Linked DNA regions of Canis lupus familiaris. The protein of the gene in region 2 interacts with the protein of the main gene of each other region in a biochemical or structural test. Links are inferred from orthologs where the notes say so. Each region holds a gene or a part of one and is shown on either strand. Other genes may lie near its edges.

Region 1 (14,522 bases), on a different chromosome or scaffold from region 2:
TGAAAGCTATAGGAAATAAAGCAGCTCTGAGCTCTCTAAGTCTGTGATATTATGTTCTTAAAACATTATTAAATTAGTTCTAACACCTGTCAAAGATATCTATCTATTGTCTATCTATCTATCTATCTATCTATCTATCTATCTATCTATCTATCATCTATCTATATGGAACGGAGGAAAATGAGGGAACATCAGAAAGTCAATTTTGAAAGTAACTGTTTCTTGATTACTAAAGTGATCATGTAGATAGTATGAAATATGTAATACATAAGCTGGAAATTAATAAATCCAATCTGAAATGGATATTTAGTGTTATATAATATAATGTGATGTTAGTACATCCAGGACCATAAAGTCCAGATATTAGTCCACATGTTTTTAGGAGGAGGGAGAGAAAAATTAGGTAGGACCCCGCTTTAAGTTATGGAACTAAACTTTTTTGGAAGAAGGCACACACTGAGGACATAATTCTGTGTGTGTGTGTTTTAATTTGTTCCTTTAAGTTGTGTTAGGGAAGGTAAATGGATACAAAGCAGTCACATTTAAATAATGTAACCTCAAAAAGAAAAAGAGAAAAGGAATATCATTATTTCTCCTGATAAGAAAACTGAAAGATATGATAATAGCTGCATTCAAATATATGAGATTTGCATTTCATTGACTTCCCTTGTTAGCTATTTTTTTCCTATGTCTAAAGACAAAATAAAAGGGAGTGGTTTGAGGGTTTAGTGAGTCTCTTGTTAGGAAAAGTTTTAAAAACCGATGTTTCCAGTGACTGAAGGAAGTCATGTCATCTCTTTATTTAATGATCGTTAGTACAGTTATATGGTTATACAATTGTAATATTTCTCAAGAAAAGAAGAATACATGATGAAAACATGATTTTTTTCAGCCAGGGAACTATTTGTGTAACTGAAATATTAATAGAGGACCACTGTTGTCCATGCTATGCCTCATAATTGAAAGAGCTTTGAAATTAAACACATTTGAGCTCTGTGGGTGCTTGGGTAAGTTATGGAATGGTTCTAAGCTTGTTTTTATCTTAGTGAAATGATAGTAACAATATTTTCTCCATGGGATTGTCATATAGAATAAAAGTAGCATTTACAATAAGATGATGAGTATATAATAGATAACAAATATATGCAGAAAATAAACATAGACCCCAAAAATATTGTTGGGAATTATCTATTCAGTCCCAGCATATTTTCACTTTTTTATTGCTGGGATATAAGTTATATTGGGATATAAGTTGTATTTGTCAAAATGCACATGATTATATGGACAGTTCAATGACTTTTTAGGACAGATATACCTGTGTCACTCATACCACTCTACTGCTACAGAAAGCTTTGTTATTTATGCACCTTCTCAGGTAATCTTTGCTACTCCCTTTCCCTCAGCTATGATTCTTGATTACTTTCCTTTTAGATAGTTCCTTATAGGACTTTATTTAATTAGAGTCACACAATATGTATTCTTTTGTGCCTTTTTTCCCCTCTACATGTTTTTGAGATTCATCCATGTTATCAAAAGTATCAGTAGTTCATTACTTTCTACTAATGAATAGCATTCCATTATGTGGAGATACCACCACCTGTTTTACCTTATCCCATCTCTTGCTGATGGAAATTTGCATTATTTTCCTTTTTTTTTTTTTTATTATGAGTAAAGTGGCTATGGACATTCCTGTGCAAGTATTTTGTGTGCACTTTTATTCATTTCTCTTACGTAAAAGCTAGAAGTGGATTGCTAGATTATAGGGTACATTTGTGTTTATGTAAAACTGCCAGATTGGTTTCCAAAGTGGGTATAATGTTTTACACTCCCATCAGCAATTATGAGAGTTTCATTTATTCCAGTCTTTGTGAACATTTGGTAATCAATGATACATATTGGTTCTTTTTCTCTCTTTTTCTCTCTCTCTTTCTCAATCTCCCTATTACTTGCAAAATTGAGAAGGAAAGTGAGAGAACATCAGGGATTCAGTTTTACAAATAAGAGAGACAGGGACAGAAACAGAGACAGATTTTAAGGGATTGTGGAGGCTGGGATACCTGAAATCTTCAGGGCAGGCCAGCAAGCTGGAAATTCAGGTAGAAATTGATGTCAAGTCTAAATTCTTCAGGGCAACAGTCTGGAAATCCAAGTAGAATTCCTGTGTTGCACTCTTAAGGAGAATTCTCTTTTGGGTAATGTCAGTCTTTGCTTTGTAAGGCCCTCAACTGATTGCATGAGGTTCGCCATAGTATGGAGAATAATATGCTTTACACAAAGTCTACTTATTTCAATGTTAATTATATCTAAAAATTCTTTCACAGGAACATCTAGACTGGTGTTTCACCAGACGAATGGGCATCGTATCTTAGCCAAGTTGACATATAAAATTAACCATTACACTTAATCTTTTAAATTTTAATCAATCTAATAAGTGTCTAGTATAGCTTACCATGGTTTTAGTTTGCATTTCCCTGATGACTAATGATGTTCAACATATTTTCATATACTTACTGGATATTCATATATCTTTCTCAGTCAGTTTCTGCTTATGTCTTCTGCTTATTCTACTTAATTTTTTAAACTATTTAGAGTTATTTATATGTTCTATATTCCAGTCCTTGTTAAATGTGTGTGTCATGACTATTTTCTGATCTGTGGCATGTCTATTCATTTTCCCAGCATAGTCTTTTGATGAGCAACTTTTCTAATTTTAGGAAGTAAACTTCGTTAATCTCATTGTTCTCATATCATTTTTTGAAAAGACTTTTGTTGGTTTATCCATTAGATTGCATTGCTACCATTGTCAACTATGCAGTTGTCAGAATGAACTAGAATCTCCATCCTAATTCTGAATTTTTTTTCGAGAGAATTTTATTTTCCCAGCTTGGTTAGGTATCCACTCTAAGACAGTCTATTGTGGCAGTTTGGATAAAAGTCAAGGAAATCAAATTACAAAAGTGGCCTGTAAACTTATTCTTGCCAACAAGAATGGCATTGCATCTCTTCCTTTTAAAAAAAAAACTTTTTATTTTTAAATAACTATGAATTTGCAGGAAGTTGCAAAGAAATGTATAGGGAGATACCATGCAACCTTCATACCACCTCCTCTAATGTTGACATCTTACATAATTATAATCCAATATCAAAATCAGGAAATTTACCTCAGTACAACCCACAGACTTACCCTGATTTCACCATTTATACATGCATTTGTGTGAGTGTATGTGCATAGTTTTATGCAATTATGTCACATCTGTAGCTTTGTGTAACTACCACCTCAATCAAGTTGCAAAAATATTCAATCAGCACAATATCAGATCATATATATAATAGATATATTATATATATGATAATAGATAACCTTGTGAGACTGGCTTTTTTTTTTTTTTCACTCAGCATAACTCCTTTGAGTTCCATTCAAGTTATTGCATGTATCATTAGTTGTGTTTGTTTCACTACATAGTACTGCATGGTGTGGCTCTACCACAGTTTGCCACAGTCTGTTTAACAGTTAACCTTTTGAAGGATATTGAATTATTTCCAGTTTGGGGCAATTATGAATAAAGTTGTTATGAACTTTCATACACAAATTTTTATGTGAACATAGTTATTCTTCTGGGATAAATGCCTGAGAGTACAATTGCTGGCTTGTATAATGTGGTAGGTAAAATAATGGTCCTCCAAAGATTTCTAGACTCTAATCTCTAGAACCTGTGAATAAGTTGCCTTACATGCAGGGCCCAGGGGACTTTGTGTATGTGAAAAAAATTATGAATCTTGAGGAAGGGAGATTTTCCCAGATTATTTTTATTGGCCCAAAGTAATAAAAAAAGGTCCTGATGAGAGGGAGGCAAGAGGATCAGAGTCAGAGATATTAGAAGGTGCTATCCTGCTGCTTTGAAGATAAAGAAAGGGACCATGAACCAAGTAATGCAGTTAGCCTCTTGAAGCCAGAAAAGGTGAGAGACAGATTCTCTCTAGAGCTTCCAGAAGAAACACAACACTACTGACACCTTGATTTTAACACATTGGATCTGTCTTATTTCTGACCTCTAGGACTGTAGATAATAAATTTGTGTTGTATGAAGCCAGTAAATTTGTAGTGATTTGTCATAACATCAATAGAAAACTAATATACATGATAAGGGAATTTTTAGTTTTAGAAAAACTGTCCAAATATTTTTTCCAGAGTGGATATCTCTGTCTTCTAAGAGCTTACTCTTTCTTTAAGAATCACCATATATTTTACTTTTTTCATGAAGTTTATTCTTGTTCACCTACTGAATATTTTGTAATGCCCTTTAAGTACCAGACACTGTTCTGAGAGCAGTAAATAATGCAAACAAGGTCCTTGCTTTCATAGACATGAAATTCTACTGAGGGGACACAGATAATAAACATACAAATCAAGATAATAACAGAAACAAACACCAAAAAGAAGATGAAAGAGCTTAAAGAGTAGTTAGTTTGGTGATTGGAGAAGGCCTTTCTGAGAAGCAGACATCTGAGCCAAGATTTGGACATTGAGAAGGTTCTAGCCATGTGGAAATCAGAAGAAGGAGCATTCTAAACAGAGGCAGCAGCTTGAGAACCCCTGATGGTGAACAAATCAGAAGAAAGCAGATGTGGTTGGAGCACAGAAAACAAAGGTAGGACATTATGGTAGATGAGATCAGATAGGCAGGGGTCTGTCTGATTACTGAGACACTTTAAGATAGGATGAGGAGTTTAGGTTTATCCATTGTGTAATAGGAAGTCATTGGAAGATTTCAACCAGGAGAGGAGCATATCTGATGTATGTTTGAAAATGATCACTCTCATCATTATAAGGAGAATGGTTTGGAATGAGGCAAGAATAGAAGGAAGGCCAGTTGAGAGAGAACTGTATCAACTAGGTTAGTAGTATTGGAGTTAGAGAAAAGGTGAGAGGTGTAGAATTTGTTTGTAGTTATAATCAACAAGATTGCTGTGGGATTGACTATGGGTGTGAAGGAAAGTGGGGTTTTTTGCTTGAGAACAGCATGGTGGTGTCCTTTGGATGATTATTTTGGATTGGTACAAAGAGGGCAGAGATTGTAAAATAGGACATTAAATGTATGGATTTGAGTGGATAAGTTGTCAATTGACAGTTTGAGATTGTTCTGGAGAAATGTTTGGGAGTGATAATTAATGTTTCAAGTTCTTAGATGAGATTAACCTGGAAGAGGGCGGATAAAAAGCAGGGAATTAAGATACTACAATTTATAGATACAGTGGAGGATGAGATTTTTTAAGTCTGAAGGTGAAGACCAGGAAAGTATCAAACCAAGAAGCCAAGGGGAAAAAAATCTTTACTGAAAGAAACTACAGACATTTGTGCTGAATGCTACTAAGAAGTCAAATAAGCAGATAAGGATGGCAGAAATGAAATCAAGCCTGTTAAGTGCAATGGAGAGAAAGTAGACGAGTGATTGTAAGGAAATGAGATAAATGAGGGTAATGAATAGTGATGAGGCCAATGGATCAGTAGGCTCAGTGGAACTAGAGAGGGAGTAACATGTTAAAGTGTGAGTACTAAGATAGGTGAGTTAGAAGGGGAGTCAAGGAAGATGCTTGAAATCAAGATTTTGGTAATGGTATAGCAACTGATGATAAGATCAAGATATGTATAGTCATAGAAAATAAGGTGGAAGAAGCCATCACAGGAATGAAGAAGGTCAAGGAAGAGAAAAGCCGGGTAGGATGTTAAATAGGTGGTCCATGTGGATATTGATATTATCAAATTACCATGATTGGGAAAACAGAAGTCCATGAGCCAGGTATCAACTGAATAGAACATCTCTTTGAACTTCTTAATTTTGTACCTTAATTTTGTACCTTTATTTTGTACCTTCAAAATAAGACATTGTCTTATTCTTTGCCTTCTGTGTACTTTGTACTTGTTTTTTTTCCTTCTAGATTAGGCAATCAAAACACAATTGTTGCTATCTGATAGCACAAAGCACACATTTTCCAATACAGTGTTATAGTGAACAAGGGATAACTGATCCTAGGATACCTCTGATGGAGGGCAGAATCATTTCATTAACAGCTAGTCTGGTTTGGAATAGATGCTTCAGAGAAATCATACATCATGACAAAGATATATGGAAACAGTCAAAAATTTATTTTAGAAGAGATTTTTCATTCTTAGATAGTATAAAAATAAACAGGCATTTGTTAACACTTACATCTTACATAAGTTAATTTAAATACACATTTGTCTGAGGCACCAAAACATTCATATATTATACTCCGAATTCAGTCGGCATTGATATTAATAACAAAATTTCTTTCAGTGAAGTTTTTACATAAGCCCTTCTAATATTGACTATTTCTTAACTTTTTAAACATAAAATCTTAAAAATTCCCCTGAGTTATTTCCTTTAATAAAATTTCATTTTCTTTCTCTACCTAAAGACATGCTTTCTCATTTACAAATACTGATGTTATCTGTAATCAGTGCATGATTTAAAAATATTAGAATCCACAAAAAATATTAAAACCCACAGTGATATTTGCACCTGTGTCCTCAATAAGTTATAGCTGAATGACTTAATGAAGGATCCATAGGTCCCTCAAAACTGTAAAGATCTTATGGTACATGCAGGTTAATGAGACACAGTGTTCTCTGTGGGCTGGTATATAGGGAAATCTATATTTCAATTCCAACTTGCCATATTTCAATATACCAGAGTTGGGTTCCTGAAAATTTACTCACAGATCTCAAATAATTTCTCTTAGTGTTTACATAATAATTCAGAGTTAATCTCAAAGAAGATATACTGATTCTCACATAATGCAAAAAAAAAAAAAATGATTGCAGCTTAAACCTAGTTTATAATAACATCCTAACAAAACAAATAATAATCCTCAATAAATTAAGTATACAGTACCAGCAAATGTCAGCTGACAATGAGATGTGGAAAAGAAACATTATCTTCCCGGGAACTATTCAGAATTTGACTTTGCTTTTAAATGAGAAAGGATATTCTTAATAGAAATACGACTTCCTTCCATCAAGAACCCCCTACAGTTCTTTGTCAGTCATTAGCCTCATTGAAGCCTTCTGTTACAATTTAAAATTTACAAAAAGATCGCTGCCTTTCACTTAAAATAAGTGTATACTGTTGTGTATAGAGTCCTTTAAGGGCTGTTTTTTTTTTTTCCTTTCATTCCTCTTAAGAGGAGCTAAATTACTAGTAGTCCTGAGTTGAGGTTTTCCTGAAAACTTACACAAGTTCAGGTAAGAAAGTATAGACAGAGTCCAAAGAAAGGTATACTCAGATCTTAAAAATCAAGGAAACAAGAAAGTAAACTGATCAGAAGAGAGTTTCTACCAGCACAGTGGCTAACAGAAGAAAAGAAAGTGTGCAGGTAGTTGCTTCTAATGCACCAGGGAAGATACACTAGAAATCCCGATAGTGTCGAAAAAAACTTGCAGCATTTTGTCATCCTGGAACAGCATTTAAATATCCAACATCTTCGCTTTTGTTCATAATAATAATATAAACTGAAATTCAAGTAAAAGGATGTCAAACTCATTTATAAAACAGAAAACTTTTCCTCTTTAACCCGAAGACATCTTTAAAATAGTGACATGAAAATCTTCACAAGTATGACCCCTTTCTCCTTAACAGATGTTAAGTAACATAAGGAGTTTAACATAAATATTAAATAATTAAGTTAAAAGGAATCGTCCATATAAATAAATAAATAGGATTAACAGGCTTCTATAGTTCAGTTGACCGTTCTTTCAGTAGGACTGTGGGATTGATGTCATCTAGACCGGAGTGCGAAGAGCTTGCATTAATGGTGACTGTTTTGGTGAGTTGTCCGTCTTGAACAGAGAATGCAGTGAATGGACAGCCCTTCACGTTATTGCAGATGAGAGACTGGATTGAGGCAGTGTTGATGATTTTAAAGCCTACTTCTCCACCAAAGGTGCTAGGCTTCCAGTAGTCAGGTGAACAGATGGGATTACCCATAAGTCCTTTCAAGGAGAATGGTGCTCCCATTTCTACCATGGTCTCACCAAAGATGGCATCTGGACGAGGCTTTTCTACCAAGAGGGCAGGATACAGCTCCATGGCATCAATATCACCATAAAGGGCCTCCAACCCCGCAGCCATTTCCTTCTCTCCTGTGAAGGTGACAAAAACAGATATTCAACTAATGTATAAAAAACTTTACCAAAAAAAAAAGTTTTAACCCTTTGCTCAATTCCCTTTCAACTTGTTTCCATTTGACCCTTGATTCTTAAGAAGTTTCTCTCACCTGTAAGTTCTTCGAATGATGTATAGGGCTTCAGCCTAAAGCGTTTGCGATACTCATTAAGAGACTGGTATTTCATCTGTCTGCTCTGGTCAATCGAAGCTTTTGCTACTTGTTGTACTGCAGCTGGAACATTCCTGCCACCGGCAACCTATGGGAAATGAATTAAATTGTAGAATAAGGTCTTAGGCATCTTTATGATGATCTCTACTTTAAAAGCATTCATTCCTTGGGTACAAAGGAGGGAAGACTAATGCTCCCAGCTGAGACCCAAAATAAGTTAGAAATATTTCTATAATCTGCAGATTCTAATTATAGAATAGTTTTCAAAAATATTAAGCTATGACTACATATCGCTATTTGATAGCTGGAGACTACAAGTTTAGACTTCCAAAAATTGGGCTTTTTAAAAGAATTGGCTAGCAAAATATTAAACTTTCAGTAAGAGTTCAGAAAGATCACTTTGGTGGCAGAAATTCTGATTAGTCCTTTGTTTTTTCAATAACAAGGCTTACCCTGCCAGCAATTTGCCTGCTGAATGATTCCACAAACTGGGTAAGGCCATGTTCCAATAATATAGAGTTGTTGTAGATAAACTGTTGGAAATTGTACTCCTGGTCATCTATTTGCAAGGTGTCAGGCAGGAGGGGATGCCAGTGGTAGAGTGTGTTAAACTCAGCAGCAATGCGGTTTTGGTACTGGAATTGTTGGTTGAAAAGCAGCTCTGGGTCAAACTTCAGCTTGAAGTGATAGCCACTCAAGTGTTGTACATAGTCTTCAATCACAATCTTAATGGTTTCTCCTATTTACACAACAACAACAAAAAAATTAGAGCATTAATTCTCTGATCAAGCAACTGAAATGCAATCTTGTTAATCTGCTATTCTTTCACTTCTATTTTGTCCTGGTTTACCAACAAAACAGAAAAGTATTAATACCCTCAATCACGCTCAAAGACTGAAATATGGAGCATGTGATTTTCCATTCACTACATTCTCCCAGAATTACTTAAAACGGATAAAAAGTAACATGCCAGCTTTCTCTGGGGGAGAGGGTTTTATTGAAATTATTTTCTCTTCTTGCTTACCTATCAGTATTAGCCTGCTCGTCTGGAATAACCGCTCATCATCCCATTCTGGGTGCTCCTGTTTAAGCACATCACACACTCTGTTATGCTCCCGCAGCCAAATGGTGGCATACATCATCAGACCAGGCACCAGACCAAAGACCTCCTGGCCCACAGCAAACTGCAGGTGTTCAGGAACATGAGGTGGGTAGATCATCTCGACCTGAGTATCTTTGACGGTAGGAGGATACACCTCTCCATCAATTACCTAAGAAACAACAGTAGTACAAACATTAAATTTTAATCAGGGGAAGTTTTTAAATATGGGTTAGTTGTGAGTCAATTCTTAATATTCCAATGGAACAAACCTGATATTTCATTTTTCCATCCTTGAAAAGGCGCAGTTTATGTTGTCTATCCAAAGTTTCCCCATAAACATGATTTAAGTCCACCTGGAAGATTATGGAAAAATTTTAATTTGTTGCTGTTGAAGTTCTATAAAGTTTCTATAATGTAATTCATCATTAAATAATAAATAATTTGATAAAACACGTTTCTCTCACAACCACTAAATAGTAAATTAGTTTGTCCTCTGACACTACAAACCTATGTCTTGTGTAGAGTTATAAGTATATAATATGCTTCACTATATGGTATTTCCTTTAATAAGCATCAGAAAATATATTATTGATATAAAATTCTTACTGGTAAGTTGGAACTGTGTAATAATGCTGCAAAAATCTCAATATTTAAAGCAGCATAACCAGAGTACAAATAGCTTTTTCGAAGATGCAACTTTTTGCAGTGCTAATATTTTAAAGTAAAAATGTAAGATTCAAATTACAAATAATAATGTCTGTATATATGCGTGTGTGTGCTTGAGTATTTTTACTAAACAAGTGAATTAAAATGGAAATTCCACTAAGGTTTTTATAGATGGAATTTTTTAACAAGGGAGTGATTTGGTGTGTATATATATCTCCTTCATATCAGTACTCAGTATGACTTTTGCTATAATTTGAATTTCTTACCCCATGGCCCAATCCTTTGGTGAAAGCTGGTCCTCGCTTATGATCTGTCTTGAAAAATTGATGGGTAAAGTGCTGGGCAAAGAATGCAAACATCATATTGGTGCCTTGGGGATCAGGAATGAACTTTCTTCGCAGAAGAAACTTTTCCACAATCTCTTTTGAATCAGGAAGCTCTTTCTTGCCTGAAGAATGAGAAAGCTAAGATAAGAATTCATTTACAAGTTCAAGCAAGCAGTGAATGTCAATTTAGTCTGGGGCTTTCTTCACTTACAGGAGAAATAAAGGTGTGAACTGTATTCATCTGTGTAAATAGGATTATAATACAAATGGAAGTTCTAAGATATAGGGAAACATTGAATAGTTTTACTTTAACTAGTATTAATTTGGTTTTAGTGAAAGAATTTGAAAATGTGAAGATATTATACCAAAATGTCCACTTTCATAGGATAGTTTAATAGTTTAGAGATTCACAGATATCCTCAAGCAAAAAATATGCTTTTATTAACAAATAAATGATAGTTCAGGGCTGAATTTTCTAGGTAGCAACCCAATCCCTATTGCAATGAATACATGTCTAACTGCCTCCCCGTACTCACCTTTCACACCCATGGGTGTTGGACAGTCATCAGGTACAGGGGGAAGAGCTCTGGTATAATAGGAGAGGTTAGAAAAGGCTTCCCAGCTTTTATAGCCGTAGTTCACATTATAAGTTGGTGGACTCTCAATCAAATGTGACCGGGCTGAAATTTAAGAAAAAAAATATTGTTTTATTTGTTCCTATACGCAAGACATATCAATGTTCACTTTTATTGTACAAAGTGCAAAGTGGCACTAAAGACCGAATTTAATTCCATCAAAGATAACCTATTGTAAACCAGTGGTCCATGGATATTCAATTAACAACTGGACCACGCTTCTTTCAGATTGGTAAGAGCAGTGAATTTAGAAGAGGTATACAGGATTGTAAGTAGAATTCTGAATTTGAGACAGAACTTTACAAACTGAATGGGACCGAAATGTCAATATTTTGGGCCATTAAGATAGAGGGCAAAGGGGCGGCTGGGTAGCTCTGCCCTTGGCTCAGGTCATGATCCCAGGGTCCTTGGATTGAGTCCCTTGTCTGGCTCCCTGCTCGGCAGGGAGTCTGCTTCTCCCTCCACCCCTCCCCCCACTCAGGTTCATTCTCTCAAATAAATAAAATCTTAAAAGGTTTAATAATCTAAAGTCTTATAAAGAACATTTTTCTTTGAGGAAATTGAAAACCTTAGAAAGAGACTTGTACTTACATGTCAACACATATTTCATAATTGTATTTCGCAGGAAGGGGATGTTATTGACAATGTTCCAGACTCCCTTGAAGTGGGTAAGTATGTAGTGTACTGTATTTGGAGTGGGTTTCAGGTATAATTTTATTCTTGTCAGAAATTCCGCTGCAAAAACAGAAGAGGGAAAGATTAATAGGACCCATTATGAGACACTAGTATGCAAATTGGTAACTGGACATATCCCCAGTCCAAATGAGGGCACCCCCAAGGGCACACTTACGTGTTGAGCAGTTTTCGCCGTAGAATCCTGTTCGGGTACAGTCACACTTATACTGGTCAAATCCTGTGCTCATACAAATACCTTGGTTTTGACATGGGTGGGAACAGCAAGGATTTGCTACAAAAAAAAGTAAGGACAGTAAATGATTCATTCTTTAATCTTCATTTAACATTGAATTGTATGGATCAACTTTACATAAATAAATTCAAGAAATCTAAATTCAATAAGGCCAACAACGTTCAACCAGGGAAGCGATGTTGCCAAGCTGTCTTTAGTAACTTTGGAGATGTTCAAATTAGCATTTTTAAGGACCTCACAGAAGTAGCACCCTCAAAAGTCAAGTGGAGGTATCTAGTACAATTAATCAAAATGTGGGAGAAATTTCAGCGTAAAAACAGCTTATTGTTAAAATGTTTTGCTTATCTTCAAAAAGTAACCTGGGCTTTCCTGGGTCAGGAAAGCACCAACTAGGGTACGTAAACCAGTTCCTCCCACTCCCCAAGAGCAGAACATCTCCTATATTGATTGATCCCGAGCCTTATCATAATGACCATCGGCAAATTAGTATCCCTACTCAGTCCTACGTATTAGCGGATGACAAGGGAGACCCACACCCGCTAAGTGACTGGCTCAGGCTGAGCAGAGCAGGTGGCAAAGCTCGGAGAGACACCCAGTCCTTGGGGCCCCAAACGGTCCAAGCCCTTTACCAGGTCAAACATCATCAAAGCCCCGAGCGGGTCCCGGCGGTCCGAGCGGAAGCTCCGCGGCGATCACCCAGCCGAGGAGTCCCCGCGGCGGGGAGCCAGGTACCCACCTGCGCGGACGACCGCCAGGGCGGCGCAGAGCACCAGGGCGCGGGCCAGCATCGCGGCGGCGGGCGGGGCGCGGGCGGAGCGCGGGCGGTGGCAGAGGCGGCGGCGGAGGCGGAGGCGGCGGCGGAGGCGTTCCCGTCCTGGGCTCGGGGCTGCGGCGCTGGAGGAGGCAGGCGCTGTGCGGAGTTCCCGAGCGTGCTCCAGACGCTCGCTGCAAGTTGTTTGACAACTAGTCGCTAACGGACGGAACCTTCCTTTTATGCATGATAACTAAGCCCACGTGACGCATGACTGTTTCTTTCCACCCCCCTCCCCCCCATCACTCTCCCCTCCCCCTGTCTACTTAATAATTGCGTAAGGATTTTTTTTTTTTTTTTTGACTCCACGCAAATGAGAAAATCGGAAACCCGAGAAGCTGCCTCGGACTTCCCCAAGGGGGTGCAAAGCGAATTGCCCCCCTCGGTTCCGGAGGGCGATTGGCGCCGGATTCCCTTTCTCCGCAGTCTTTGACCGGGAGCTTCGGAGAGCGCGCGGGCGCCGCGGCGGGTCCCCCTGCCGGGAGGGAGAATCCGGGGCCTCCTCTCCCGGAATCCGAGCGGCCGGAGGTCCCAGGACGCAGGGAATCTCCCCGCGCGGCCACCCCCGCGTCTCATGCCCAGGTCTTTGCGGGCCCGAGGAGTCACAGTCTGGACAGACGGGGCCAGGAAAGGCTGACACGGGTTACGTCATGTATGTCAAACATGTCATGATGTTCGTGGCGACCCGTCACCTAGTGTACGTGTAGCACATACATCCATACATTACGATTTTCTAAAAATTTTGGCTGAATGAAATAGAATAGCTGGAGTCAGTGTGCACATCTGTAAGCTGTTGGTTCCTCGCCCCAGGACTGCTCCTAAGCGGCGATCCTGCCAACAGTCGGTCCGAGCTTGAGCTACCGTGTTTCCCCTCTTGTGATGAGGGATCTGCCGGGATGCTAAAAGCTCAGCACATCTGCTTTCGTGCATTTCTTTCACCACTTTGGCCACCAGCCCTTCACAGGAGATACACGGAGAAGAAACTAGTTTTTTTTTTTTTTTTAAGTTTGCTTTTTTTGTCTTTCTGCCCACTTTTCAGAGACGAGGAGGACTGTGACGGTGGATCAAAATACAACATTGCATTTACTTTTTTCAATTGGGCTTAAGAGTGCAAATTTTCTATTCTCATTTTGGAACATACTTTGATGAGGAAGTGAGTAGAATGGGTGGAAAAGACGGATGATTTTGACAATTTAAAATTTCATCGTCCTTTGCTTTTATTTAATATCTTTTGGTTGGTGATGTAAGGGCGAAATGAGAGAGAGAGAGAGAGAGAGGAAAGTTAGTGACCAGCAGCAAAGTGGAGAATAACAAGTTCTGTTAAGCCATACATTCTTAGCACTAATAGAAATAACAGCATAGAACCTAAAGTAAAACGACACCGGATACTTCAGTCTGTAGGAGTCTTGAAAAAGAGACTCACTTGGAATTTTTTTTTTCTTACCATTTTGCTTAAGGTACACAATATCTGATTTTTACATGAGACACAAATGACTAAAATTCCATCTCATCCATGAAGCCTTTTTCCTCCTCTAGTCATATTTAATCATTCGATTTGTGACACTCCCATTTATTGTATTAAATCCTACGTGAAATTAAAACTAAGAGCATAATTTTTTAATAATTCCATTTTCTATTAAATGAGTAGGTTGTATGTATTCAAATTTTAAAGTGATATTTAGGGCCACTCATTTGAGCT
Region 2 (16,578 bases):
TCCCATCTTCTGTTTCACTCTCTCCTGCCCACCTGGCATTCTTTGGTTGGCCCCATTGCTTACAGTTAGCCCTCTCTATTAGCAATGGCCTCATGAGTTGGCTTCCTGGCCTAATAATGCCTCAGTGCATTGCTGTGGCCTATAAGGGGACAAATGCCTTGGCGGGCACCAAAGGCTCTGCTGATCTGGGTCCTGCTTGTGTCCCTTGCTCTGGCCACACTGTCCTCAGACACGGTAGCATTGTGCAAAGAAATAGACGTGGGGATTCCGAAGTTGGCATGTGCAAAATGCTCAGTCCAGCCCAGAGTGGGTGGCAGGATAGGGAGAAGGGGCCTTGTGGTTTTTTCTTTCTTTGTGTTTCTTTTTTCTCCCAGATTTCCACTTTCTCACTACTTGGGTCTAGATATCAGCATCTTTTCCGGTTACTCATTGTAAGTAAGAAAATGTAATTGTGTTTGAAATCCACAACAAAAAGGATATGATCCAGTGCAGTCTCTAAACACAATTTGTCTTTTTATGTAGACTCTATCAATGCCCGTTTGTACTGTAGTGTCTTTGCTGGGCTCAGGAATTGAAAATTGAAATGCAATTCTTAAAAAATTCACTTTTAAATTACTCTAAGTGCTATTAAGCACATACACATAGTATCAAAATTTAAGCCTCCTCCAAATTAAAAATGTCTGGCTCTTAATTACCTACACAGCTGACAATGACTAAAGAGGAAGCTTGGTTATGCCTTTAGGAATATGTATTTCCCTGCCATGAAATAATGACAAGAAGACATCTTCTCAAGGTTCAATAAAGAAAACAAGATGTATTTTATATCTGAAACATCAACATAGTTCCCATGAGAGGCAGGAAATATGTATTCCTTGCAGGTGTAAATCTGTTCCACCAATTAATTCCCCTGGTAGTTGCACAGTACATGGATCATGCAGATTTCCTTTAAGACAAAATTAAAAACACTTCCCCCACCCTAAACAATGGTTCGTGTGAAAGCATGCCATTTTATGTTTCCTGGACTAACTGAAAAATAGTTAAAACTATTTTAAACATTTAATCTTTGATGGAGGAGCTGACAACATATGTGATGGAAGGATGTCACTTTCATTAACCCTATGTTGCAAGGAAAGAAACCAAGGTTTGAGGGTGTAGTAGGTTGGCCTGTAAGAGTGCCTCCTTCAAGTTATAGTGCGGCTTGATGGCTGTGATGAAGGGTAAGAGAGGGGTCATGCTGGAGAGTAGCGAGGAAACAAAGGCATGCCATGACTGGCGCGTGGAAATTATGCCCATTCTGCTAAAAATTAGTGTGTGTAGGGATTCCTGATGTATTTCCAGGTTATAGGAATCAGCTATAGGCCATTGCCAATCCATCTGTGACCATATAATTTTTCTTCCATGCTAGGACACTTCTGAATGTGGAAAGGGCACTATCGATAGTGCCCCTAATAGTTACTCAGGGCTGATCAGTATTACCTTGTCTGTATGGGACAACCTAAAGCATATGGCTGCCCCACTCCCAGTGACCCAGCAATGCTAAGTTTATGGTTGGCTCTAAGCCCAAGTGGCCTCACAGGGTGGAGAACCATTGAACAAAGTTGGTTTGGGAGCTCTTCATGGTGTTTCGAAACTCTCTGAGTTCAAACTGGCCTGACCCTCAAATATTCTTCTGGCAAGGAGAATGTCTAGAGTTATGTAGTGTTACTCTACAGTCCTCTATTTTCTTGGGATAGAACTACCCAGAGTGTATGTCTGTAAGCCACCCTTTCTAAATCTGACTTCACAATGTAATTATACAGGGAACTTTGAAAAATATAGATCCTTAGGCTCCAGCCCTACATATTCTAATTTAATAGATCTGTGTAGTAAGCTCAAGCACCTGTGTTTTCAAAAATTCCTCGGTGATTCAGATGCCTAGCCACATTTGAAAGCCCTCTTGGATTTGTAAAGAGTCTATGGGGTTTTTAAAGAGCTGCAAATTTCAAATTTTCAATACAAATGTTGGAAGTTGAGAGCCAATACAGGAAGAGAGAATATGAAAGAAGAACAGAAATATTTCCCACAATTTAATCATATTTCGTGTAGGACCAGAACAGAGGCAAATTGTTTAAAAATATATATGTTTCTTATTTTGCCCATGCCTTGATTACTGGCTCAGGAACAATTAGAGACATTATAGATGAGTCATTTTTTTGAACTAAGCCCTGATGGTTATAAAGTTTTAGCAGACAGTGGAATTTGGTAAAAGAATTCCAACAAAAGTTTGCAAAGGAAACTGTATAAAGAGAAGCAAGGAAGTAGCTATAAACTCCGCGTGAGTGGTGCTCATATCTAGTTACATACGGTAGCCACCAGCACGGTGCATAATAATTATTTATTGAAAGGTGGATGACTTTCAGAGGGAGTGCTATCGTATGAGAATGACTCTCATTCTTTTCTTTATAGTTAGATAAATTGAAGCATAGAAACAAAATAGCTTGCCCAAAATATTTTTAGGGCTGGTGTTTATTAGCTTTTATGAGCTAAAGAAGTTTGATCCCATTTATAAGCCTAATTCTTAGGGACTACCGAGGGAAAGAAACCTGTTGGCCTTGACATTCTTTACTCCTTCCTTGGGGTCCAGTCCCACACTAATGGGACTAGATGCTTTCTAGTTGAAAGAGATCATGAAAGCAATAGGCCATTATGTTGAAACCCAAACTGACCCGATTACTGTGTGCATGCCTTTCTTTGACTATTAAAGAAGAGGAATTTTGTGTCTGTGCATGTTTAAGAATGATTACATTCAAGTTTTGGAGGAGAAAGTTACAAAATTCACAAAAATATTTTTTCTTATCTTGGCGCAATAGTTTTCCACTCTATCAGGGTATATGTCAGGCATTTGTCTAGGGGCTGAGGGTTTCTTTTTTTTAGGAACTTCTTTTAAAAGAAGTATACTATGCAAATCTCTTTCTCCATGGCCTTAGGGTACCATAAAGGACATAATATACAAGGTCCAGAGTGTAGAAGAAGAGACAGCATGTGCTTCTTGGCATAAACCATCTTTGTGGGGATCCCTGGGTGGCTTAGCGGTTTGGCGCCTGCCTTGGGCCAGGGTGTGATCCTGGGGTCTTGGGATCGAGTCCCGCATCAGGCTCCTTGCATGGAGCCTGCTTTCCCTCTGCCTGTGTCTCTGCTTCTCTCTCTCTCTCTCTGTATTTCTCATGAATAAATAAAATCTTAAAAAAAATCTTTGTATGAAAACAGCAGTCTTTCCCATTCCCCACACAAACCAAGCCAGAAGGATCATGAAAGGGCCCAGAACCCCACAGGTCAGTGCACACAGCCCCATTCTTATAGGGGCGAATTCTCTGTGGGTATTTCCTCATAGAGAACTTATGTTGAAAAGTAGGGCAAACTGAAAAGCAGTTTCATTCAGAATATGAAAAAGTCTGTTATTTTATGGACTTGAGTGGGCAGGACCATAAGCAGGTGGTTTTTCAAATTACTGGACTTTCCAGATGCTGCTTACTATTGCAGCTGTTCTCACTGTAAGCCCTTTTAAAATGGAGCCAACACTGCTATTAATTGGAAGAATAAGCCACATCGTGAGCTTTTTCATAATTCAAAGGTATTTTTCATAGTTCAAATTATTTTTTGGTGACAGGAGATGGAGAAGAAAGAAGAGACTTTGTTTTAAGAATCACTTAAAATGTATATCATTGTTGAAAGTGTTTGCGGATGCGTAAGAATAAATAATATCCCTCATTTTAGTATTGTTTTTTGCTCAGTGATGTGAGAAAATTTCCCGCCAAAAATGACCATCCTGCTCCTTTACAAGCAGGGGATTCTGAAATCTGTGCATGATCTCATTTGTGGCAAAATATCCGTCACCACTCACCATCGTGTGGAGCTGTCTCCTAAACAAACAGACAAACGAAACCAATACCAATTCCAACGGAAGAGAGTAATAACAGGGTGTTGAGGGCTTTGAGACAATCTGATCTTTTAAATCTTAGGCTTTGATTATATGTATATCAAATAAATATGGAATTTGTAATTGCCATTATATTGAGATCAATCAATCACTTTAGGATGCCTTCCAGTTGAAAAAGATCAAGAAGACGTTGGGATGTCATTTTGAAATCAGAACCGATCTGATTACCATGTGTATGACTTTTTTTTTGGCTGCCAAAGAAAATTTTGTGTTTGAGCATATTTAAGAATGATTATATTCAAGTTTTATGATGGAAAGTTACAAATGTATATTTTTATTTTCAAACAGAAGTCTTCTCTCAGATGTTCTGATTCTTCTCAGGACTAATCTCAGAATCATCTCAATTCATTTCTCCCCTCATAGCAATAGTCTACATGAATCACATAATCTTGTCCATTCTTCCCTTTATCATACATTTCAAAATATCTGTTTTGCACAGTGACCGTCTGAAAACATGGATAAAAATTTTAAACTTCTATGGCCCTTAAATTTCTTTCAAGGGATTGGAAGTTGGGCTGGGAGCCATTATGTTCTCTTCCAATTCTAAAATCCTGTCATTTTATGCTTCTCTGATTTTGTCTCCAGTGCCACTGCACACTGTCCTTCTTTTTCATGTCTAGACCACAGTGCAATTACGTCTTCACTGTTCTCTGCTCAACCAGACTGGCTACCTTTCATCACATCCTGTAGCTTAGCCAGTCATCTTTGAGAAAGCCCACCCTCATCTTGTCATACTCAAGCCTGAAGTCTTGCCTTCTCACTGTTGAGATGATAAAGTCCAAACTTCTCATGAGTGCTGGATAAAGGCCTCTGCCAAGTGGCCATGATCAGTCCGTTCACCTTTATGACCTACCACTCTGCCACGTGAATTCTCTGCTTTCAATCAAAATGGGCTACGAAACCTTCCATCATGCCCGGTATGAGACATTCCCATCTCCATGCCTTGCTTATTTTGAAGCCCTCCTGTGCTTTTCTCAGCTGTTTGCCCTTCATGATCCAACTCAGACTGTACTCCTTCATGCCCTTCTCTATTAAACTATCTAGAATCCATCTTCCTTCCCCGACCCCATTGTCCTATCCACAGTAGGATCTCCCTAACACTACCAATACCATTCACTTAAAAAAAAACAAACTTTATTGAAGAATAATTGACAAATATAATTGTATGTATTCAAGGTGTACAATGTTGGATGCCTGGGTGGCTCAGTGGATGAGTGTCTGCCTTCAGCTCAGGTCGTGGCCCCGGGGTCCTGGGATCGACTCCTCTATCAATCCCTGCAGGGAGCCTGCTTGTCCCTCTGCCTGTGTCTCTGCCTCTCTCTGTGTGTCTCTCATGAATAAATAAAATCTTAAAACGAAAACAAAACCAAAAAACCCCGAAGTGTACAATGTGATGATCTGATATACACCTACATTGTTTGATTACCAAGATCAACATAGTATCATTCACTTTTTAAAAACCTTTTTATTATTCAATATTCAATACTGCTTACTTTTTTCCTTTTTTTATTTCCCCCCCACTCCCCCTAAATACTGCTTGCTTTTGATTTATTACCAAAATGATAATGAGAAGGTTCACAGTAGAGACCACATAAAATAGCATGTCAATTAAAAAAGAAAGTGAAAATACAAAACCAAGAGTGGGAGAGGGTAGTGATGCATATTAATGAAACTTAAAATCTAACTATGTTTCCTAGTAGTCAAAGCAGAAAAGGATCCATTAGTTACCATTTGGCAGTGACTTAGTATTGTGTTATAGTGTATTCTTTAAAACTTTTTATCCATATGCGTCTTGTCTCTCTAACTCTAACCCTTGTGATTGCTACAACTTATTTTAGGAATTATGCTTTCTAGTATGTCGTGCAGTGTATAGTCTAGCATAGGGTGAGTTTAACAAATTAATTTATTGGTGGCTAATATGATGTCAGAATCATAAATCTGATGTTTTATTTATATGGAAATTCCAGTTAAGTACATAGTAAACATACAAATGAAAATGTGAACATGAAAAGAAGACATAGAAATTTCAGAGGGAGAATGAAGGGTCTGAAGTTGTCATCGCTTTAATCAGAGGAAATTTTAAAAAGCATTCATAGCCTACTATTTTGGTATAAATGTCTATAGAGATGTAATATAGTACAGCAGACCTTTAGGTAAGGTAGGAGACCGAACTTCTTGGAATTAAATTGTATAGACTAATCTGCTGACTTTTCTTTCTCTCCCTGAGTAGCTGTTTTATGAGACTGAAAGGATACTGTGCAGATACACCATGCTGCGCCTCACACTGTACATCAGGGTTTCATTTCTTCTCCATCTAGAGTTCTTTTTCTAAACTTGGTATAAGAGCCTTTTTAAAATGTAAAGAACTAGTCTGGCGCTGTCCAAAAGCAATTTCCAGGATGATGGAAATGTTATAAGCCTGTGCTGTCCAATTTGGGAGCCAGTAACCTCGTGTTGAGAACTCAGGATGTGGCTAGTGTGCCTAAAGAACTGAATTTTAATTATAATAATGTTAACTACTTGAAATTTAAACGGAAAGAGCCACAACTGGCTAGTGATTATAGAATTGGCAAAGGCAGCTCTTACAGAGCTGCTTGCCTTTAAACAGAACTTTCCATACCTGATTTGGTACCCTGATCACTGTTTCTTTATTATTACCTGACATTTTAAGCTACCATGCATTAACAGTAAAACTTTGGATGTTTTTGTTATTTTAAGAAGTCTATGTTGTCAAAAGTAAAATTTAGGAAAGTTTATTTACTGCCGTGTAACATGGAGAGGGTCATACTTGTTTCTGTCATCATGTTTGTGCTGGGACTCATAGAAAGCACTTTTTTTTTTTTTTTTGAAAAGCACTTCTAAAACAGGAGTCTCTGCAGGTTATAGGCTACCCCTCCTGGGCTACTGCAGATGTCACTCTTTGGACAGAAATTGGACTTGTAGCCTGGGCCTCTCTCTGCAGGAAGTCCTCCGAAGTCCTTTCTCAACTAGGCCTCTGAGTAAATGGGCCTACCAAATTCTTCCCAAGGTGGATTTTTCTGTCTGAGTGTCTTGTTTTGCTCATAGGCGCAAATGGGAGGGGTTTGCTTTCTCTAGGCCAGCAGGAGCTTGCTGCAACTCTTCCTTTTAATTTTTTTTTTTTTTAATATGAGGATCCCCACACTTGCTCTTTGAAATGCTATTCTGTTAACTGCTATTTCCTCTAAGCCTGTTATGCCTTTTTTCCATCTGCGTTGAAGTCTCTTTTCCCAGTGGGGCCTTTCTTTCTCAGCTTAGTCATGCTATGTGTGGAGACCCACATCCACACTGCTGGCCTCTCTGACTCATCCTGGGAGGCTTGCTTGCTCCAGGAACCCCACTCACACTGCGGTGGAACAACAGGGAGGCTCCAATGAAGCCAGCCCTTTCTGAAATCTGCCTCTTTTCCTGGCATCTCTTCTTCTTGTCCAAAGCTACATGAGAAGGAGAAAAAGCAAAAATGTCTTTCCCTCTCTTTAAGGTGACGCTTTTAGTAAATCGTTTTTAGCAATTCTAATTTCAAGTTTATAAGCTACTTTTTTTTTTTATTGCTGCTGCTTTTAAATATTTCATAATCTGGCTAGTAGAAAAACCTACTAATGCTCCAATTTTCCTTTTTCCTCTACCAGCAAGCCAAGAGAGTCAATTCTGACAGTTACATTTTCCTTCCCGTTACAGGTTAAATTGTTTCCCTTTTTGAAATAAATTATTCATAAATGTGCATAGTCTCTGAACTATGGCTCTTCCCAGCCCCAGATAGGAGACTGGGTAGGTGGAAATTGCTCATCTGCCCCATTGGCTGTTCTGGAGTTGTGCAGAACTGGGTCTTCACGCTATAATCTTCCAGGCCAGGATTTTCCTTGGCCCTCCCCACTCCTCAAAGAAAACCCTCTGCCAAGAATGGCTCAAGCCCATGATTTCCCAATCCAGATGGATTCGGACAATAAATTTCCCTGACTTAATTTGCTAAGAGGGTCAAAGTTGAATAATATAATGATAATCAAAAATTGATCACTGACTCAAATCTAAGTTTGGCCAATAGCTCATTCAGATGCCTTATTATTTTTTTTTAAAAAAATCACCAAACACATTCTGAAAATATAAAAAGGAACTCCAGCCTGAGTGTCTCATTAACTCGGGGAAGCCTGACCCAGGCAGTCACTAAAGAAGTGACTTTATATACCTAGCTAGGGGTGTCTATGGGAGAAATCCAGAGGCGCTCATTATTTTTGGTTGTGGAAATTAGCTTGGTCGTGCACGAGTACCACTTTTTCCCCCTCCAGTTAAGATGCTCTCTCTCCATATATGTGATATATAATATATCAATCTGAAGCATTTTTACCCACCTTATTATAGTTAAGAAAATAACTTGAGGTTACCCTGATTTGAGCTGGGACAACCTGCCCACTCGGTATCCCATAGATCATCGAGCCACAAAGAACTTACACAGTGACCTTACTTGCTTTAATTCTAGGTGCAATAGGGCGCCCCCCTTCGCTAGAGTTTAAGCCTGGGAACAGGCAAGAGGGTGCCCCGCAGGGCCAAGCGCCTCACTCGCCCAAGGAGCGCGGGCCAACCTGTCGCGGAGATCTGGAGGTGTGTTGGCCGGGGAGAAGTGGGGTTCTAGGAGGAGGGCAGTCAGCGAGATTCCAGCCGAACTAGCCGGCGGGGTGATGGGGGAGGGCAAGGTGGGGGGACTGCGGGGCCCCGCGTCCTCAAGCGCAGGAGGCAGCGCGCGCGGGCCCAGGTAGCGGAGGATGCTCGGAGCGCCCCGGGGCGGGCGGGGCCGCCTCCCCTACCTTGACCACGTCGTCGTTGAGATGCTTGGGGTCGCGGTTGACCAGGTCGATTTCCTTGGTGTGCGCGTCGTACACCTGCTTCTCGCTCATCTCCTCCGCCATGGCCTTGTTGTTGGGCTTGTAGATGTTGCCCTGCTCCCGGATGGGAACGGTGTAGAGGTGCCCCTGCGCGGGGTGGGGGGGGGACGGCGGGGTGCGGGAGGGGGGGGCGGAGATGGGAAGAAAATGTCAAAAAAGGCAATGCCAGAAAAAGGAAATGTCAAAAAGGAAATGTCAAAAAGGAAAACGAGCGGTGCGGCGGCCCTGGAGGTCGCCCGCCAACTGGCCGCTCGGGCGCCGCCGGCGCTTAAGAGGATGGAGGCGAGGACACCACACCCCTCGGTGCCCGCGGGGAGCCCCGGCCTCCGCCGCCCGCCGCCAGGGGTCAGCGCGCACCCGCGCCGCCCCCGCCCGCGCCCGCCCCGCGCGCCCCCCAGCGACCGCGGGGACCCGTCCCCGGCTGCGGGGCGCCCCTCCCCCACCCTGCTCTCCAGAAGCTCTCCGGCGTCTCCCTCGGGCCCGCTGGAGCCCCCGGGACCCCCCGGAGGGGCCCCCTTTCTGCCCCTTTCTGCCGCACCTCCCCGACACCTGCTGGCTCGCCGCACTCTCCGCGCCCCCCGCCCCCGCGGGGCTCAGCGTCCCGAAAGCGCCCGTGTCGGGAGCAGCGCCCCCCGCCCCCCTGCAGACCGCCCCGAACCGCGACCTCGCACCTGCCCGGCGCCCCCGACCTCCCCGACCTCCCGCAGGTCCCTCCTAGGCCGCCGGCGGGGCGCGGGGCGGAGGGCGAGTTTGGGGAGCGAGATCCCCGCGCGGACGAGGGGTGGCACTGGGAGGGGAGGGCGGGCAGGGACAGGAGGGGAGGGGAGGGGAGGGCAGGTCCCCCCTCTGCAAACACCCCGCCGGGCGCCGCGATGCTGGAAGGGTTCTTGAGGCGGCCCGAGGGCTTCGGGCGGTGCCAGCCGGTCCAGGCGCCTGGCGGAGCGGCGGGGACGGTCCCCCGGATCGCGGGGGGATGGCGGCGCACCCCGCGTCCCCGATCGCAGCCCCCCAGCGCGCAGGGGCTGGGCCGTGCGGGTCCCGACCTAAAGCAGCGCCCCGGGCCCGCCCACGACCCAGGAGCGTGCTCTGGTCCCCATCTCGGGACCCCGGGGCGCCCCCCGCCCCCACTTTCAGCCTCCCTCTGGTTTAGGGCCCGCCGGCCCCCCTTTCCGAAGAGCAGCCTGGACGACATTCCTGCCCCCTCTTCAGCTCCCCGCCCAGGCCCATTCCTCGGAGGTGCCCGCGCCGGGGGAGCGCCCGGCGGCCGACCGCGGGGGGTGGGGTGGGGGTGGGGTGGGGGTGGGGGCGCCCCGGGGGCTCCCCGCGCGCACCCCGCGAGCCTACCTCGGAGTCTACGTATTTGCCCCCAGACATGCTGGCCGGTGGCTGGGTGAAGGCTCCGAGGTTTCCCTGGGCTGTTATTCAAGGGAACCGAGGAAGGAAGATCTTGTATTGTGCAGGGGGGGGGGGGGGGGGGGCGGGGAGGCGCAGGCGGGGGGCGGCGGCTGGGAGGGAGCCTGCTGGCCGCGGGCCCGGGGCTTGCCGCGAGCGCCCGGCCGGGACCTGCGCGCCGGGTCCGGGCACATCCCCGGGGTTCGGCGGCGCGGGGCGGGGAGCGCGCGGGGAGCGCCCCGCGGGGGTGGCCTAGACCTGGGGCGCACGTCCCCGGGGGGCTCGCGGCGGCGTCCTGCGGGGGCGCGGGGTTGGCGCGGGGCGTCGCGCTCCTCCCCGCGCTCCTCCCCGCGCATCTGCCCGCGGAGAAGCCGCCTCCCCGCCCCCATCCCCGCCCGCCCAGCTCTCCCCCACTGTCACCGGGAGGAAAGGGACGAAAAAGGGCGCAGGACTTTTGGGCACGATGCGCCCCCGACGGCGAGCAAGCACACGTGCGCGCGCGGTGCAGGTGGCGACGCGCCGGCTCACACCTGGCGGCCCCGGACAGGACACACAGACACGCGGAACTCCAGTTTCCCCGCCGCTTCTGAAAGCCCCCCCTGCCCTGCCCCCCAACCCTCTGAAGCAAACGAGAATGGCAGGCTTCGCCCATCTTTCTGGAACTTTCTGGAAACTTATGCCCACACGTTGTGCCACATTTCCAAAAGACGTAAAAATATTTACAGTTGTAGGAATATTTAGTGGGAGCTTCAAGTTTGTCATAGAGGACTTTTTCTTTGCACTTTTTCTAATTTTTTTTTCTATTTTTTTTTTTTTTCTAATGCACTTGCCCGTGCGTTAGAGGAGACCCGGTTCTTCTAGGAACCGATCTGAAGTTTAACAAATCGTTAGCAGTTATTTGCAAATGTTTTCTCTATTCCTGAATGTGCGGCTGCTATCTTTTTATAAAGCGTACGCCTAAGGTGAATGGAACAATAAGCAGTAGTTTTACATCTGGGCTATGGAGAAGTCAAGAAGTTCACTGTCTTTTGGCCTGTGGCTCCATATGCAATCAGAAGGAGAACTAGAGGGGCGGCCCGGGTGGCTCAGCGGTTTAGCGCCGCCTTCAGCCCAGGGCCTGACCCTGGAGACCCAGGATCAAGCCCTGCATCAGGCTCCCTGCATGGAGCCTGCTTCTCCCTCTGCCTGTGCCTCTGCTTTTCTCTCTCTCTGTGTCTCTCATTAATAAATAAGTAAAATCTTTTTTTAAAAAAATAAAAAGTAATAATTAAAAAAGTAAAATTAGAAAAATGATTTTAAAAATTTAAAAAAAGTAAAATCAGGACTTGAAATAGAAAATCTGACAATCTATCTGAAGGGGCACAGGTTACAGGAAACATTTTGGTGGTCTGTCCATAAAGGCGGAGGCACAAAAGGAGGAGGAGAACGGGTAATAGAGGATGGGACCCTTGGAATTGATTATCTAGTTAGAATATATGGAACTGTAAAAGAACTATAAAGGACAGGCTATTGTTGGTGGTAAAAAGCAATACAACCTTTAAATTCTTTTTTTTAAAATTTATTTATTTATGATAGACATAGAGAGAGAGAGAGAGAGAGAGAGGCAGAGACACAGGCAGAGGGAGAAGCAGGCTCCATGCAGGGAGCCCGATGTGGGACTCGATCCAGAGGTTCCAGGACCAGACCCTGGACTGAAGGCTGCGCTAAACCACTGAGCCACCCGGGCTGCGCCAATTTTTAATTTTTTAATTTTTTTCAATTTTTTTTTTTAAAGATCAGTTTCAATTATATGGCAGGGGAAATGTTACAAACGTTGGCGTTAATTATGCTGGCTAGTCATGATTAGAACTCTAAAGATCTTCTAACAATTGGGCTTTAAAATTTTTATTTCTGCCAAAATCCACTTGTAGATTCTTTGAACATATTGTGTGTGAAGAAGCATGACATGCTAGCAAAGAGTGGTGTCAGGGTCACCGGGTTGTGCGGTGCCCCGCTTACCTCTGACGGTTGCTGGAGGACTGCTGTTCATCTAGCTCTTCCTTCATGAGCGTTGGTTACAAAGCAGTTGTGGTTATGGCCAATGGAAAAATGTGGAAACCGTTTCCCATCTATTGTTGTTCAGTCTTCAGCTGCGATGAGTAATCTTGACTGTGAAAAAAGTCAACAGGAACAGGGAGAGAGTGTGTCCTGCATTCCAGCAAGGAATGGACTTTCCGGGGAGGCCTGTGAGTGAATGCTTAACGAGCTCAACCCAGGCAGGTCCATGGCGAAGCCAAATCAACAGCAGCGCCCGGAATCATAATGATCAGTGAAGCGTTGTCAATGCCAAAATGAATTCCTAATGAGAGGAAAAACCACAAACTCTTCGTTAACCTGCCTCAACAAGAAGTTAGACCCAAAAAGAAACAGATTGTATTCTGGTTATAATAGCTGAATTGAAGAATTGGCTCCACCTTCATGAGAAATAAAGATGAATAATGTTGTTAGCGTAGGTATAAGATCTGAAATGGATAGATGATATAATGAATAAAATAGTTTTTCTTCGATACCCCTAAAGATAACTTTAGGCTTGGAGGCAAGTTAATAAATTTCTCCAAATCATTTACTAAAAAATGACCACATGGCGACTTATTTGCCCCCCCTTTATTTTTTTTTAAAGAAGCAACCTTAAAGGGCAGCTCATGCTTTATAGGTTACTAAAAATATAGAGCTAAAAGGGACACCATTCATCCAAATCAGTTGTCTTAGAGATGCGGAGATTGAAGTCTAAATACATAAAAAAGAAAAAATAAATAAATACATAAAAATGATTTGTTCTTGAAGAGTTTTGCGGGAGTAAGGAGCATTTTAAAGTTGATAAATAACTAGAGTTCCTGTTAGTAGTTTCTGGGACATAGGATTCTTAAGTAACCTGGGGAGATCTACTCACGGTAAAATTGTGAAGTTAGTTGCCTTTTGTGTTCTCTTATCTTCTGCAGCCCCTGCTCCCCAACCTCTCAGGTCCCCACCACCCCAGGTCCTCTTACGCTAAACTGGCTTCAGCTGATTTCCACTCTAGGATTAGAAGTCCAAGGTTTGACTGCTTACAGTGATACTGGTGGTTTTAAGAAGCAGGAACCTTTCCAATGTTTATCAACACCGAGAAGCCCAAGACTGCCCAACTATGACTTTGTCAGTGAGTTCAGAAAAGAGATTACAGTTACCCCTAGGTGTGATATAGAAAGAATAACAACCAGGGTGACAGAGCACCCAGCTGGCGTTCCCAACGTGGGTCACAGCTCTGGAGCCTTGGAGTCCCGCTGGCTAGTGAGTTGCTAGCTCATTGGGAGGTTGGGGGCCTTAAGGAGAAAGTCAGAAGGGGAAGAGGGAACATTTCAGAGGGTGTCTATTTACATGCATAAATACCAACATTTTTACAAGCTCTGTGTTCAGCTGAACATTTATCCTGTTTTTCAGCATCACCACCTCACACGCCTTCTACTGAATTCCATTCAGGCCTTCTTCCCATACCTGCTTTACCTTCTTCCATCCTTCCATTTATATATGGAAAAAAATTAGCTTTCTAGATGAAAATCTGGCTAATCCTCTGATCCCTTTTTATCCCTCTTCTGGCTTGAAGTGGTCCCCTGGACTCTTCCTTGTTGTGCCTTTCCATTTTGAGTATTTTAAATATTTTTTTCTATTTATTTTCTTAAAAAAGAACAAACAACTATTTGTACATTCAAAAATCTTCCTGAAAAGATGAGAAAATATTTTTTTCATCCAGTTTTTTTTTTTTTTTTTAAATTAACTTCACTCCGCTTATTTGTAAAACGGAACACATATTGACATCTTAGCGGTGCCATGAACATTTAATGAGGTGATGCACTTAAAGCACAGAAGATACTGCGTAAGTCTTAACAGATGCTAGGGGTAGGGACAAATTTCAGCCTACAGGTTCAGAATCAAAATAAATATATTTTAAAGTATTTTTCTTGTAACATAGCTTAACCATCCAAGATACGGCAAATTGTATAATCAAATATCATTTTGCCATATTTGCTTCAGATTTTTTAAAAGTAGAAAACATGGTTACTACTGAAATCCCTTGTGAGATGTAACTCTCTCTTTTTTTGTAACAGAGCTTAATTTCTTTCACCCCCCCCCCCCGCCCCCCATACCTTCAGGTGGCAGAAACTTTTCTGCCATTTTGCTGGGATTGCACCTACTTCCCAGGGGCTTCTGAATTGCTACGGAATCTCAGGGTGGGTCTGGGGAGGAGTCTCTTCCTTCGCTGTGCATCTTGGATCTGCTGATAGGTACATCATCATCCTGTCTATCTTCAATCATTGGTCCATTCAGGGTGTTGCTACTCTGTCCTTCATGTTCATTCAAAATGCTCTTTAGGCCCAGAGACACTTTTTGCTACTTCTGTGTTTTTTTTGTTTTTGCTTTTTTTTTAATTGGGCCTCTATTTACATCTAATACATTTGAATGGGCAGGCCTGATGTAGCAGCCTGGAGCCACCCATGGTGAAGGTGCTGCAGAGAAGAAATGCCCTGCCGGGGTACAGAGAAACTCTAGGGGTTGCTATCTCCACAGGCCCTACTCAGAAACAGGAGGCACAACTGTCTTAGCGATTATATCCTCTTAATTTATCTGAGCCTTGGCTAAAGACACACATATGTCAAAAATCTTTTTGCTTATTTTCCCAATTTCCTCCCCCTTGCACAGGAAGCCATGCTTGCATATCACCCAACAATTTTTGTGTGACCTGAATTCCCCCAGGCATTCACCAGGGGTTTTGGAATCAAGAAAAGCCTTATCTCTGCTTTTCTGCTGTAAGGATCCTTCCCTAGGCTTAGAGGTGGGTGGGGTAAGGGAGTGCTCCAGGGGCTACTAGAAAAGAACGTAAGTTAACGTATCAGAAGTGTCATCATTAAGTTTTCTTTTTTTCCTTCAACCAAATCCTGCCAAGATTTTGCCAGAAACATCTGATAAGCTCTATCTGGTATTTCTGAATTATAACAAACCCTTAAATCCAAATTTTAAATATTTAATATTTCATTGATAGCCATTATTTACATTTATTTATATTTCATTGATAACCTTGTGTTAAGGCTTTTATCCTTCTAATTAACTCAAAATATTGATAGTGGAATAATATATCTGGCCTTTAGCTATCATGTCAGTTTACTTTCCAATTTTCTTATCAAATGCTTTGTTATCCAAGACCAAACCAATCTGACTGGTTATTTAATATTATTGAAATAAGATTAATTCTTGGGAAAGCTTTTGGATAGCAAATCCTGTGTAGAAAAGTACAATTCTTCTTGGTGTCCTAACTAAAATTGGTAAAGGTATAGTTGTACACACTGAATCAGTGTGGATGAGGCTTTCTGGCTATGTCTGAGTGATATCACAATAGCTAATTAAAAGTGAAAGATGATGTGAAACAACACTTTTTTGTCATCATATATCCACTACATATTTTAAAACTGAATTTTAGGGTGTATCAATCAATTAGTGCTACAATCATTTGGCATCAATAAACTACTACAAAACTCAGTAGCTCAAGAACAACCGTTCGTTCACACAGACCTATGGGTTGGGTGGGCTGGGGCTCAGTTGATGTAGGCTAGGGCCACTGGGGCAGCTCTGCTTTTCACTGTAAGTCTGTGCTGGCTCTGTTCCATATCTCTGTGCTCCTTGGACCCTCAAGCTATTGGGGAAGATTCTTCTCATGATCCAAGAAGTAGCAGATACAAAAAAGGAAGAGGAAAAATATGCCATAGGTTCCTGGAAGCCTAGACCTGGAAATGACACTGCCCCATTCTGTAGGGCAAGGTAAGTCACGTGACCTAGGCCAAAGTCAAGGGTTGGGAAGTGAATTTCATCAATGAGGCCAGGGCAGGGTGTGAATACAGGAAGGCGTAAAGATCCCAAATCTACATTCAGTGTATTCATCGTTAGGAACTGGTTTTTGGGTTTAGTTTTCCATGTTTTAATCTAGTTTATGAGATATACCCTTTTGCTGTCTTTTAGTTCCCATAAAGCTATACATAGTTTATTAAAAAATCTTCCCAATAAGTAATTGATAAAAAAATCTCTTAATCTTAAATGCCAACTTCTGTATGAAGTTTTTTTTTTGTTTTTTTTTTTAAGATTTTATTTATTTATTCATGGGAGAGAGTGAGAGGCACAGACACAGGCAGAGGGAGAAGCAGGCTCCATGCAGGGAGCCCGATGTGGGACTTGATCCCGGGTCTCCAGGATCATACCCTGGGCCGAAGGCAGGCGTTAAACCACTGAGCCACCTCGGCTGCCCTGTATGAA

What was found.
Region 1: the proteins of CAV1 (region 2) and PTGS2 form a complex in vitro, tested with the Homo sapiens proteins (2 studies listed by BioGRID). The link is inferred for Canis lupus familiaris from reciprocal best matches to the Homo sapiens genes CAV1 and PTGS2.

The regions. Positions count from the first base shown.
Region 1 is NC_049228.1:19,546,830-19,561,351, forward strand, and holds PTGS2 (prostaglandin G/H synthase 2 precursor), read right to left. Parts: upstream 12,950-14,522; 5' UTR 12,931-12,949; intron 12,809-12,930; 5' UTR 12,801-12,808; coding exon 12,749-12,800; intron 12,052-12,748; coding exon 11,935-12,051; intron 11,820-11,934; coding exon 11,676-11,819; intron 11,130-11,675; coding exon 10,986-11,129; intron 10,572-10,985; coding exon 10,390-10,571; intron 9,811-10,389; coding exon 9,727-9,810; intron 9,627-9,726; coding exon 9,380-9,626; intron 9,095-9,379; coding exon 8,808-9,094; intron 8,444-8,807; coding exon 8,296-8,443; intron 8,162-8,295; coding exon 7,752-8,161; 3' UTR 6,125-7,751; downstream 1-6,124. UniProt on the Homo sapiens protein: Dual cyclooxygenase and peroxidase in the biosynthesis pathway of prostanoids, a class of C20 oxylipins mainly derived from arachidonate ((5Z,8Z,11Z,14Z)-eicosatetraenoate, AA, C20:4(n-6)), with a particular role in the inflammatory response.
Region 2 is NC_049235.1:55,584,195-55,600,772, reverse strand, and holds the start of CAV1 (caveolin-1), read right to left. Parts: upstream 10,246-16,578; coding exon 10,216-10,245; intron 8,959-10,215; coding exon 8,794-8,958; intron 1-8,793. UniProt on the Homo sapiens protein: May act as a scaffolding protein within caveolar membranes. Forms a stable heterooligomeric complex with CAV2 that targets to lipid rafts and drives caveolae formation. Mediates the recruitment of CAVIN proteins (CAVIN1/2/3/4) to the caveolae.